Schizosaccharomyces pombe: one gene and its partner. The gene in region 1 interacts genetically with each later gene. Each region holds a gene or a part of one and is shown on either strand. Other genes may lie near its edges. The genes, in order: hsr1 and ecl2.

Region 1 (6,825 bases):
TCTTATACAGATCGGCTAGAAGAAGTTTGAAGCGTGTGTCACCTAATGAAATGGAAAGAAAGTAATTGCCTGTCCAGCGTAGTGTAGTTTATGCTTTCCCTTCGGCAAACATTTCCAATGAATTCAATGGTAATTGTTTGAATTTCCTATGGGATCCCCTCTGTTACTATGTCAGAAAACCTCTACAAAGATATTTGGTATTTCCTCACAACCGCTTCCTTGTTTTCTCTTCGGTCGGTTGAATGTCCCGGAGCAAGTGACACCCATAGTGGTGGTATCGGCGTAGCGTGAGTGAGTTTTCAGATAAACCAAGCACTGGAGCTGAGATCGATCCATAGAATAGCGAGGCGGACGAACAAAACAAATTAATATGCTATTTGATTTGCTTTCTTTGTTTGTAAGGCGATTTATTTTTAACAACTGAAGCTTAGTGCGTGCGTGATACACAATTACAAAGTCATCGTCAGCTTGACCTAGAAGAAAGTTAACAAACAATTTTTTATTAGCAAAGGGAATATATTTTTTTTTTTCGCTTTTTTTTTTTTTTTTTTTTTTTACAATTCTATCAAACAGACGTTATGTAGGCTAAGCTACTTGCCACAAAACCATTCTTGGACAAATGAAACAAAGATAAAAAAAAAAAAAAAACAAGAATAAAACGAATGAAAAATTTTTTTTTCTTTCAATACTTCAAAGAAAAAAATTTACACACACACAGGAGCTAGGTCCTTCTTTTTTTTTTTTTAGGTAATTAATAATAATGCGTTGCGTACCCAAGCAAATCATTCGTAGCCAGCCAATGCAAGCAACTTATGAATGAAGCGCACGATGAGCAATAAGGGTGGGTTAGTATTTATGCCAATGGAGTTAGTGCTTGCGAATTGGATTAAACTGGACTGCATTTTACAATTCATATCTTTGTTATAAAGGTCTGTTAAAAGTTAAAACTACGCATTTCCCTGCTTCCCCCTTGCCCCTCCTTTCATTTACTCTCTCTCCTTAACTGCCGATCCAGTGAATGAAACATGGATTGTCGGTTTTTGAAAGCACTAAGTGTGTGTGTATGTATGGGCAGAAAAAAAGTAGAGAAAACCCCAAGATAGAGCTGAATAAGATGTAAGAATACATTTTGCATTCATCGAGTATGCGGGTCTTATAAAAAATGCACAAAAATACAATTAAAATATAAATCAATTAATTAAATAATTAATTAAATAAATAAAAGAAATAAAAATAATTATAAAATAAATAAGTTTACAAACGAAAAATGGGAGCGAGATTCAATAGCAAAATTTCCTCTTTACCCCCAATGTACGATATCAATCAATATCTTGTCTGATCATCCATCACCACCACCATATGGTAAACAAATAGAATTAGAAAAACCATTGTAGCAGATAATAAAAGTTCTAGTTTTTCATGGTTTATAAAATAAACAAAGAATCATACTTATAACTATGTCTCTCAGTTTGGAATACACATTCCTTATCCTCAAACCATATGCTCCAGTTCTATAGCCTTTTTTTTTTCTTCCTCTTCTTTTTCATTTCTATCTGCCAAGCTACATTGGTTTACGCTTAACTTGAACGTTGTCGCTGCTGCAGCAAGTTTTTTTCTTTCTTATTCACCTTGACCAATAATCATCCTTTATCTCTCCCCTCTCCCCGCCAAAGCATACGGGATTGAATGTAGGTAAAAATTTGCTACACATCCTCTTCACACTCGGATTATCCCGTAGGTTACTTTTAGCAAAAAATTGAAAACTCATCAATAAAATAAAATGAGTTTCTCTTAAACTATTCATCAATCAATAAAGCCGTAAATTTCCATCTTTTTCTTTTTTTTTTGTAACAAAAAACGACCTGCTCTCTGTTTTTTCTACTTTGGCATACCAATTTACAGCACTACAATCTCGATCGCGTCTTTTTTCTAATCTTACATAAACGGTGGAAGTGCTGTCTTCCCAATCGCCACGTGATGAGTGTTACAGTGACATCGGCTTACTCCAACATCATCACATTTCTTTTATGGGAGAACTCGTTGTCAGCGAACCGTCAGTTTTTGCCTCTTGCAGACGTTTGTTGGTTGATATGGTGGATACACACTTGCGTAACATCGCTACGGTATTATCGTGTCGATACGTGTAAACGAAACCGTCGCTTCTTAGATAAGGAACAGATTTCCACATCATTGAAGCGCTAGTCTCAGTTTCCCACATATTAAACTCGCCTCTTCTGGCGTTTCAACGTTTAGTTTTTCTCGTCTAGGAAAAAGGTAGTTTGTCTGTGTACATATATCCCTATATATCTGCATCCACATAAACTTGCTCATCTGTATTATATACACATATACATATACATACAACGTAGTCAAAAGTATAGCGCTTTTTACTACGCCTAGTATATTTTTTGGGGAAGAGTAAAAATAAGTAATTTCTCTTTTCAATCGGTTGAATTTGTAACTGATTTCCCCTTGCTCGTCGGAACCGAGTGTGCCGTTTCCTTTTTCAAGTCATACATACTGCCTTCACACTCGACACACACCCTTTTTTTTCTTTTTTTCTCCAATATTCCTTTTTCTTTTTGCCTACAAAGGAGTAGCTCAGCTAGTGTTTGCAAACCCATCTTACACTATTATCTCTTCTTATATGCTCAATCTTTTTAATTGATATATTGATATATGTGTGCACAATACACACTTTTATAATCGCTCCAGGCTCTCATATACCGAATTGCATCACAAAGGTTACCAGAACATAAATTGATACATTTACCCTTTTCCTTTACAAAGTACAAAAGCCATTCCTTTTTATTATCCTCATTATTCAAAAGTTAAAAATTTCCCCTTAATTTCATTTGTCTTTGTTTCTTAATCCATATTTTTTTGTTGTTGCACATCGTGCTCCTGTGGGTTTGAGGCATTGGTAGTGAAGTAAACGTTTCACTCAAATAGCTTATTTTTTTCCTAATTTATCTTCTTGAATCTTAATTTGGAACTTTCCTTTCGAAATTTTCTTTTTTTCCAATCTATAAGAATCACATTGCTTCTTCGATAGAACGCTTGTTTATTCACAGCATTTTTTCTTTTCCTATCAGCAGATCAAGGCTTTCCTTCTTTTTATTTTCTAATAATTGTACTGTAATTTTTTTTATTCCAGATACATCTTTCCTCTACTGCTTTGATTCTTTCAATTCTTGGATACTTACTACACTTTCGTCTCGTACTATTAACTTTTCTCAGTTCTGCCTCATACTAATTCTGGCTTTTTATCTTTTTTTATAAACATCTAAATAATCATATCTTTTTTGTCTTGATTTTGATGTCTACAGCCTTATAACTCTGTCATACTTGTTCTCTCGTCCTTTTCTTTTTTTTCGATTTGTCGCGTCCCTTATTTATTCCCTTTTTACTCGTCTTTCCGCGACAAATCAATACATTTTCTTTCTTTTTCTTTTATTCCCTTTTTATTCACTCACTAGACATATCTTCTCTTCTTTTTCAGTAAAATTCAAAGAGGAAATCGGTGCTTTCTAAAAATCGATCATACTTTATTCAAGTTTCTAGTGCCATTGAGTTTTACAGACCCTTTAAACGTATTTTTTTTGTGTATTGTTAACATTTTTTACACTTGATTTTCCTGTGTCAATAAACTTGTTGGCTTGCTTGTTATTGTAGACGATCGTTTGTTTCTTTCCGTTTAACTTTTTTGGTCTTGCTCCTTAATCTTTTAAGTTTTGTTCTTCAATTATTTCCGCTTTACTTATATATTTGTCGAACTTATACTTTTCGATCCTTGTATTTCTTGCTGCAAGCTACGTTGTTTGCAGTCAAAAATACCTTTTGTTACGTATCAATTCTATTCTATTTTAAGGCTTACATAATCATTTATTTTTTCGATAGGATCCCCCTTGCAATTGAACTTTTTTTTCGTTCTTAAACTTGCATATTACGAACGCTAAGTGTATAAACAATAAGTTAGCAAGACTATATTCCGTTACCTCTCTTTTTGTCTTTTCTTTAGTTGATTTTTTATTTTTGAAAAGTATTCGCTTACTTTCTTTTTATAATAATTCTTTTATCTTACTTTGTATGGTTTTCTTTCCTGAGGCAATGCCCCTTGTTACTCTTTCTGAACGAATGGTTCCCCAGGTAAACACCAGTCCATTTGCCCCAGCACAATCATCATCTCCCTTACCCTCCAATTCATGTCGTGAATATTCTTTACCCTCACATCCTTCAACTCATAATTCTAGTGTTGCATATGTCGATTCACAAGATAATAAGCCTCCATTGGTTTCTACTCTTCATTTTTCTTTGGCTCCTTCCCTTTCGCCAAGTAGCGCACAATCTCATAATACTGCACTTATAACTGAGCCTTTAACATCCTTTATTGGTGGTACATCTCAATATCCATCTGCTTCCTTTTCCACATCGCAGCACCCTTCGCAAGTCTATAATGATGGCTCTACTTTAAATAGCAACAATACTACTCAACAGTTGAATAACAACAATGGATTCCAACCACCGCCTCAAAATCCTGGTATTTCTAAAAGTCGGATAGCTCAATACCATCAACCTTCTCAAACGTATGATGATACGGTAGATTCTTCATTCTACGATTGGTATAAAGCAGGTGCTCAGCATAATCTTGCCCCACCTCAGAGTTCGCATACCGAAGCTTCACAGGGTTATATGTATTCAACCAATACTGCGCATGATGCGACTGACATTCCCTCTTCATTCAATTTCTATAACACTCAAGCTTCTACGGCTCCCAATCCTCAAGAAATAAATTACCAATGGTCGCATGAGTATCGGCCGCATACCCAATATCAGAATAACTTACTGAGAGCTCAACCCAATGTTAATTGTGAAAACTTTCCTACTACTGTTCCTAATTATCCTTTTCAACAGCCTTCATATAATCCCAATGCTCTCGTGCCTTCATATACTACGTTGGTATCTCAACTTCCACCTTCACCTTGTCTTACTGTTTCAAGCGGACCATTGTCTACGGCTTCCTCTATCCCTTCCAATTGTTCATGTCCGTCCGTTAAATCTTCTGGCCCGTCTTATCATGCTGAACAAGAAGTTAATGTGAATTCATACAATGGTGGTATTCCTTCTACTTCCTATAATGATACCCCTCAGCAGTCAGTTACGGGTTCCTATAATTCTGGAGAGACAATGTCAACGTATTTAAATCAGACAAACACATCGGGTAGATCCCCTAATTCAATGGAAGCTACAGAACAAATAGGGACGATTGGTACTGACGGTTCGATGAAGAGAAGAAAACGTCGACAGCCGTCTAATAGAAAGACTTCAGTACCACGTTCACCAGGTGGTAAATCATTTGTATGCCCTGAGTGCAGCAAAAAGTTTAAACGATCTGAACATTTGAGAAGACATATTCGATCTCTACATACTAGTGAAAAGCCATTTGTTTGTATATGTGGAAAACGTTTTTCTCGTAGAGATAATTTACGGCAGCATGAAAGGTTGCATGTCAACGCAAGCCCTAGATTAGCCTGTTTTTTCCAACCTTCAGGTTATTATTCTTCTGGTGCTCCAGGTGCTCCAGTGCAACCACAAAAACCAATTGAAGATTTAAACAAGATTCCAATTAATCAAGGCATGGATAGCTCTCAGATTGAAAACACTAATTTAATGTTATCTAGTCAAAGGCCTTTGTCTCAACAAATTGTCCCAGAAATCGCTGCTTACCCAAATTCAATTCGTCCAGAACTTCTATCTAAACTACCAGTACAAACACCTAACCAAAAAATGCCTTTAATGAATCCGATGCATCAATATCAACCTTATCCTAGTTCTTAAGCATTTTTATAAATTAACTGCCTAAATTCGGGTTTTTTTTACATTGAACTGTTTTATAAGAATGTTTTCAATTATAATTTTTCATCAGCCTTTTTTCTACCTATTTACATGTTTACTAAATCTATTTTTTACGTTTCAAAATGGCAATTTCATTGTTTACTAGCATATCCTGCTTTGCTATCTTTAGGCTATTATCAAGGCATAACGCCGGATATAATACTTAAAGCTTGAGCGTGTTATATTATGAGGGACTATTTAGCGGTGATTTTTTATCGTTCCAATTTTTTAAAATTTTTTAGTTGTTTATCATAAAGGCTCGGAGCGATAGCTACAAATGATTTTCGTTTTGGGGTTCTTCAAGGAACGGTTTTACAAATCCAATAAACTAATGTACAGTGAAAGATATACTGTTATTTGTTGTTAATATGTACATGAAATAAACTATTTCAATGAATGACTGTTGTGTTTTCGGATGAAAACATATTGATCCTTTTTTTGTGAACATCTTAGCTGGATAAGCTAAAAAGTAAAGCCACTGCAAAGTATCATAAAAGACGTAACGTAAACTCCAAAAAAATAAAATAATAATAATAATAATAATAATAATAACGAATATAAAATTACATGGAGAGTTTATGGCAGAATTTAAATCACTCAACTCTCAAACAATGACAGGCCTGACATATGTTGCCAGGCCACCAGAAAGGACTCATGGTGGAATTACATTTGCTACAGCAGCAAGCGACATTGGTTGGCGCGATAGTCGGCTTACAAACTGCTATAGTATACTGAAGTAAATAGATATATGCCTTAGGGTACAAATTGCGTATATATTCGCTCCAAGCAGAATTATTAGTATTCGGAACAATGTCATTGCGCAACAAAAAGTTCCTAGGCAACTGTTCACTTGGTCCAAAAAGAACAGGCCGCAAAGAAGTCCAGGAATTGATCATGCATTTGTTGGTATTTATTTCTGTTACGTTGCCA
Region 2 (4,277 bases), on another chromosome or scaffold:
TATTAAGGATTTGAAGCTTGAAAAGCCACACAAAAAAATGAGATGTGTAAGGAAGACGCCCGCGTTTAATTTACTGGAATCAAATTGATGGGAAGAAGTACGCGAGAACAACAGAATCAAGTGTTTACGCGACAAAGAATGATATTTTTTTTAACCCTTTGACTTTATGCAAACAACTTCTTTCTATTTATTATTTTTTTTTTAGAGTCTTAATCCACCTTAGTTCTACTGCATTTAACAATTTCATTTTTAGTTTCAAATTTCTAAATATGTATTTCTATTTTGAGCTCTTATAACAAATGCTCACATGGTCCAGTGGTTAAGACTCATCGTTGTGGCCGATGCGACCCAGGTTCGATTCCTGGTGTGGGCACTTACTATTAAATTTATTTTTGCTAATTCCTGCCCTCTAGTTGGCATCCCAAATAGATCCATTTGAATAAAGATGAACACTTAACTAGAAAAGTAAAACAACCTTTCAACCTAATACTGCTGTACAAAGCGCTTTTATTATTCAGCCAGTATTTATGTATTACCTTTGCGCACAAAATAATTCGTTTACATGTCAACCACAGTAGATATACGTTAATTTTTTAATTTTATTTTTTCTTCTAGCAACCAAAGCACTTTAATAAAATTGAATATTTTTAAAAGCGTTTTCAATTTTTATGCTTTTTTTTTATCATAACAATATAAATTTCATCAAAATAAATATTTTATCGTTTTTTAAAGTACTGATGCCAGTTAAATGTCCGTATCGATTCGTAGAAAACAAAGTGCTTGGGTATAAAATAGTTTGATACGCAACCTCTAAAAATTGTCTAATGCAAAAATCCCACGTAAACGATGAGCCAAAAACTGAGAACTTAAAGCACGACACACATAAATAACTCTAAAGCTTCAAAACCAATGGGACAATGCAAAATGTTGATATGCAAAAGAAATGATGAAGTGAGGGAAAGCCTAGAGCTTCTATGTATTTTAAAAATACGCGCTCAGAAGAACTCAGCATAAAGTTGTCCCAGATGCCAGAGCATAATGTAAAAAGCACGAATGACAAATCTCGAATACAGTTAGACAGTGCAAATAAAATGCGATTGCAGAAAAGAAGTAAGAATAGTTGCGTGACACACCGAAACAAAAGTCCATATCATAAGAATAAAAGAATCGTAAAAAATATCCATCGTATTTCGAAAGAAATAAAAAATGCCATTACGAATTGACGAAAAAGTCCGAGTACCAAATCCACTCATACAATATCGTTATCATAGAAAATCATAAAAAACCCCAATGAAGCCAAACAAACATTGTAATGGAAACATACCATCAACATTGCGTGAACGAATTAAGTTGTACAACTCATGAAATAATGAAGTGCATAAACAAAATATACGCACCAACATCATTTGGAAATTTAAGATAGTATGTAAGGATGCTTGGCTATCAATTTAAGAAACATACACGGTATGAACCGCAAAAATCAATGATCAACTATTCACACACGGTTAGTGTAGTGATCATCATTTAAGAAAGGCATAAAAATTTTTAAGTATCATAATAATTTGAAAAAAAAAACTTCAAGTTATAAGAATTATAAAATAAAAATAGGTTTAAAAAAAGGCACAATTAAATATAAGTACCCATGAGAAATAAAAAATAAAATGGAACCGGAAGATAAAGAAATAAGTAAATAAATTTTCCCAGATTAAACAGGAGAAAATGAAAAAAAAAACCGAGATAGAGAGAAATGAAATATAATTTTTTTGAGCCGTTGGCAATGAATGTGTGTATATCAACGACACCGTCGTTGGAATAATGCAATGTAAGGTAAAATTAAAGAACAGCAAGTCTGGAAGCGACAAAACCGTTCAAAAGAGAAGACGAAGTGGATGGGGAAGGCATGGAAGACCTTCTTCGGAAATGATCTAAATATTGGGAAGATAACATATGAAGATCAGCCGACTTAGAGTAAGAACACTGCTCCGAAGTCGAACCACAGCCGGGGCAATCCTGCAGATGACATTCACGAGAGCAATACAAGTTGCCAGTAGTGGGTTTTCCGCAAATTATGCAATAATCCAAATCCATGTCTCTAACGAATACAAAAGGATGAAGAAATTAGAAAAAGAAAATTAAAATGACTTGTTAACGAGGAAAAACCAATGAATGAGCCAAGCTGAGGCGAGCTAGTATTGGATCCTATTGAAGAAAACCAGATAAAACGGATGAGCGTATAAAGCGGACTAAAAAGAAATTTCAAAGTCGAAATATACGGGACGTTTGGAAGATATTTCCGATTTAGTAGAGGAAGAAGAAAGAAAAGAACTTAGCTTCACAATAAAATAAAACAAATCCTTCTCAATTTCAAGGAAGAGATGAGTCCTGCGGGTGATTCAACAAGACGAAAAGAGGTTAGGATGGAGAAAACGAGGAAAAGTGAGTTCTACTCAATCACACAGCGAAACTGTTTGTCGAGGAAAACAAGAGACACTTAAGAAGGACAGTTCGTTTAGTTCAAGCAATCAAGAACAGCGAGTATAAGTCAAAAACCCTTTGCTGATCTATATGTTAATCTTCTACGACCTCTCAGTCGGACTGCTGCGCTCTATATATACATCTGAAAACTGCGCACGCAATCTGTCCAGATGATCTGACCTGAGATACCATACTATCGGTAAAATACGTTAAGAAAACAGCATACACTGTGTTTGATCTCATAATGCACATCCGACCGACTGCATATGCTAATACATTGCGTGAGTTGCGTACAATGTTACCTCTTCATAATTTGATTACAACACACAAGAGAAGAAAGCAGAACGACTGATGTGGGGGATTTGAGTCGGAAGTGGGAAACCGAGAAAAACACTGTGTGTACTAACTCGCATACTAAATGCACACACAAACGCTAGCTCAGCCGGGGTGTCATATACAATAGTAAAAACACACTACATTTTTTATTTTTTCATTTTAATTCTCGAATACTCTTCTACTCACTTTAAGCGACCTTTCGCATCATATTCTCCGCCTTTAAACCCCAAAAATACATGTGAGAAGACAGTTGTACGCCAGCTCACAACAACATGATGCTGATCGCACATCTTTGGACTGTAAAAAGAGGCACCGATGCAGTCAGTAGCGGAGCAAAATGGAGAACCATGGTGATGATGACTTTTTTTCAACGAGAGATTTAAGGCGATAGGTGGGGTCGAAATATAGCATGTATAAAGATGTGCAGGGCAGGGATGAAAAATTAAACTGACGGTTGGGAATGAATGAGAAAAAAAAGAAATTAGTTTAAATTATAATAAAATAGAATAAAATAAATGGAATTCAATAATAGAGAACTAGAGAAGTAAAAATAAAAAGAGAAAAAATAATAAAACAAAATTTACACATGATAGAGATATAAATATATTTCACTATTAGAGAATGGTTTTACTTTTATATATCTATTTATTTATTTATTTATTTTTTTTCGATTTCTAACGACAAAGTGCGAATCGTTTATTGATTATACATTGTATTTATGATAGTAGGTGAGCAAACAACCGGAACTCGAAAAATATTTGCGAAAACTTGCGTACAAAAAGATGAGTGAATTCTAATAAAATGAAATGACTGTGGCATGATTGATGTTTTGTTTCCCATGTCTCAATGAGTAGCATCAAAATTAATTTTACCTGTTGTCCTTGTGCGACACCCATAGCGGGAGAACTAGCTAAAAAAGAAGTGAAATCTCGTTGTTGTTTCACACATTGTCTTACAATTCCATGGAATGACTTGATTCTGAAGACGGTCGGAAGCAACTTTCTGCCTCGACCGGTAACGTAGAATTCACGTACCATTTACTTATACTCATGTAACCTTGTTGTAAGTGTTTGGGATCTTTGAATCTAACGTTCGCGGGATCTAGCACGTGTTACTCTGTAGTTTGCCACGAAGCAATAACTCCTCAGCAAAGAGCTAGGATGCAACACTCTGCCAACAGTAACAATCACCAACTGTAGTAGCTACTGGATCCGATCCCACCTGTGCTTCCTCTGTAGGTATGCAAAACATCCCACATAGGTACATCTATCCCACATTTTCACGTACCCATCCCACATGTATCCATCCTACATACATCCATGTGCTTTGCTATATGCAGAATACAATAGTGCTAAACGCATCAGAATCTTTTGGAAAAATTTTAACCTACTACTGGAATTCATTCATTTCATGAAATCGATTATTAAAGGACGTATGAATCTTGTTTACAAACCCATGAGGGTCTT

What was found.
Region 2: of hsr1 (region 1) and ecl2, changing one suppresses a phenotype caused by changing the other (phenotypic suppression), as found in Schizosaccharomyces pombe (one study listed by BioGRID).

The regions. Positions count from the first base shown.
Region 1 is NC_003424.3:1,955,222-1,962,046, forward strand, and holds hsr1 (DNA-binding transcription factor Hsr1), read left to right. Parts: upstream 1-2,251; 5' UTR 2,252-4,089; coding exon 4,090-5,838; 3' UTR 5,839-6,325; downstream 6,326-6,825. Other genes in the region: Lid2 complex PHD finger subunit Snt2, read right to left, coding at 6,489-6,825. UniProt on the Schizosaccharomyces pombe protein: Transcription factor that globally supports gene expression in response to hydrogen peroxide.
Region 2 is NC_003423.3:960,428-964,704, forward strand, and holds ecl2 (protein Ecl2), read right to left. Parts: upstream 2,089-4,277; coding exon 1,834-2,088; 3' UTR 580-1,833; downstream 1-579. Other genes in the region: SPOM_SPBP35G2.17 (uncharacterized protein), read right to left, coding at 3,528-3,848.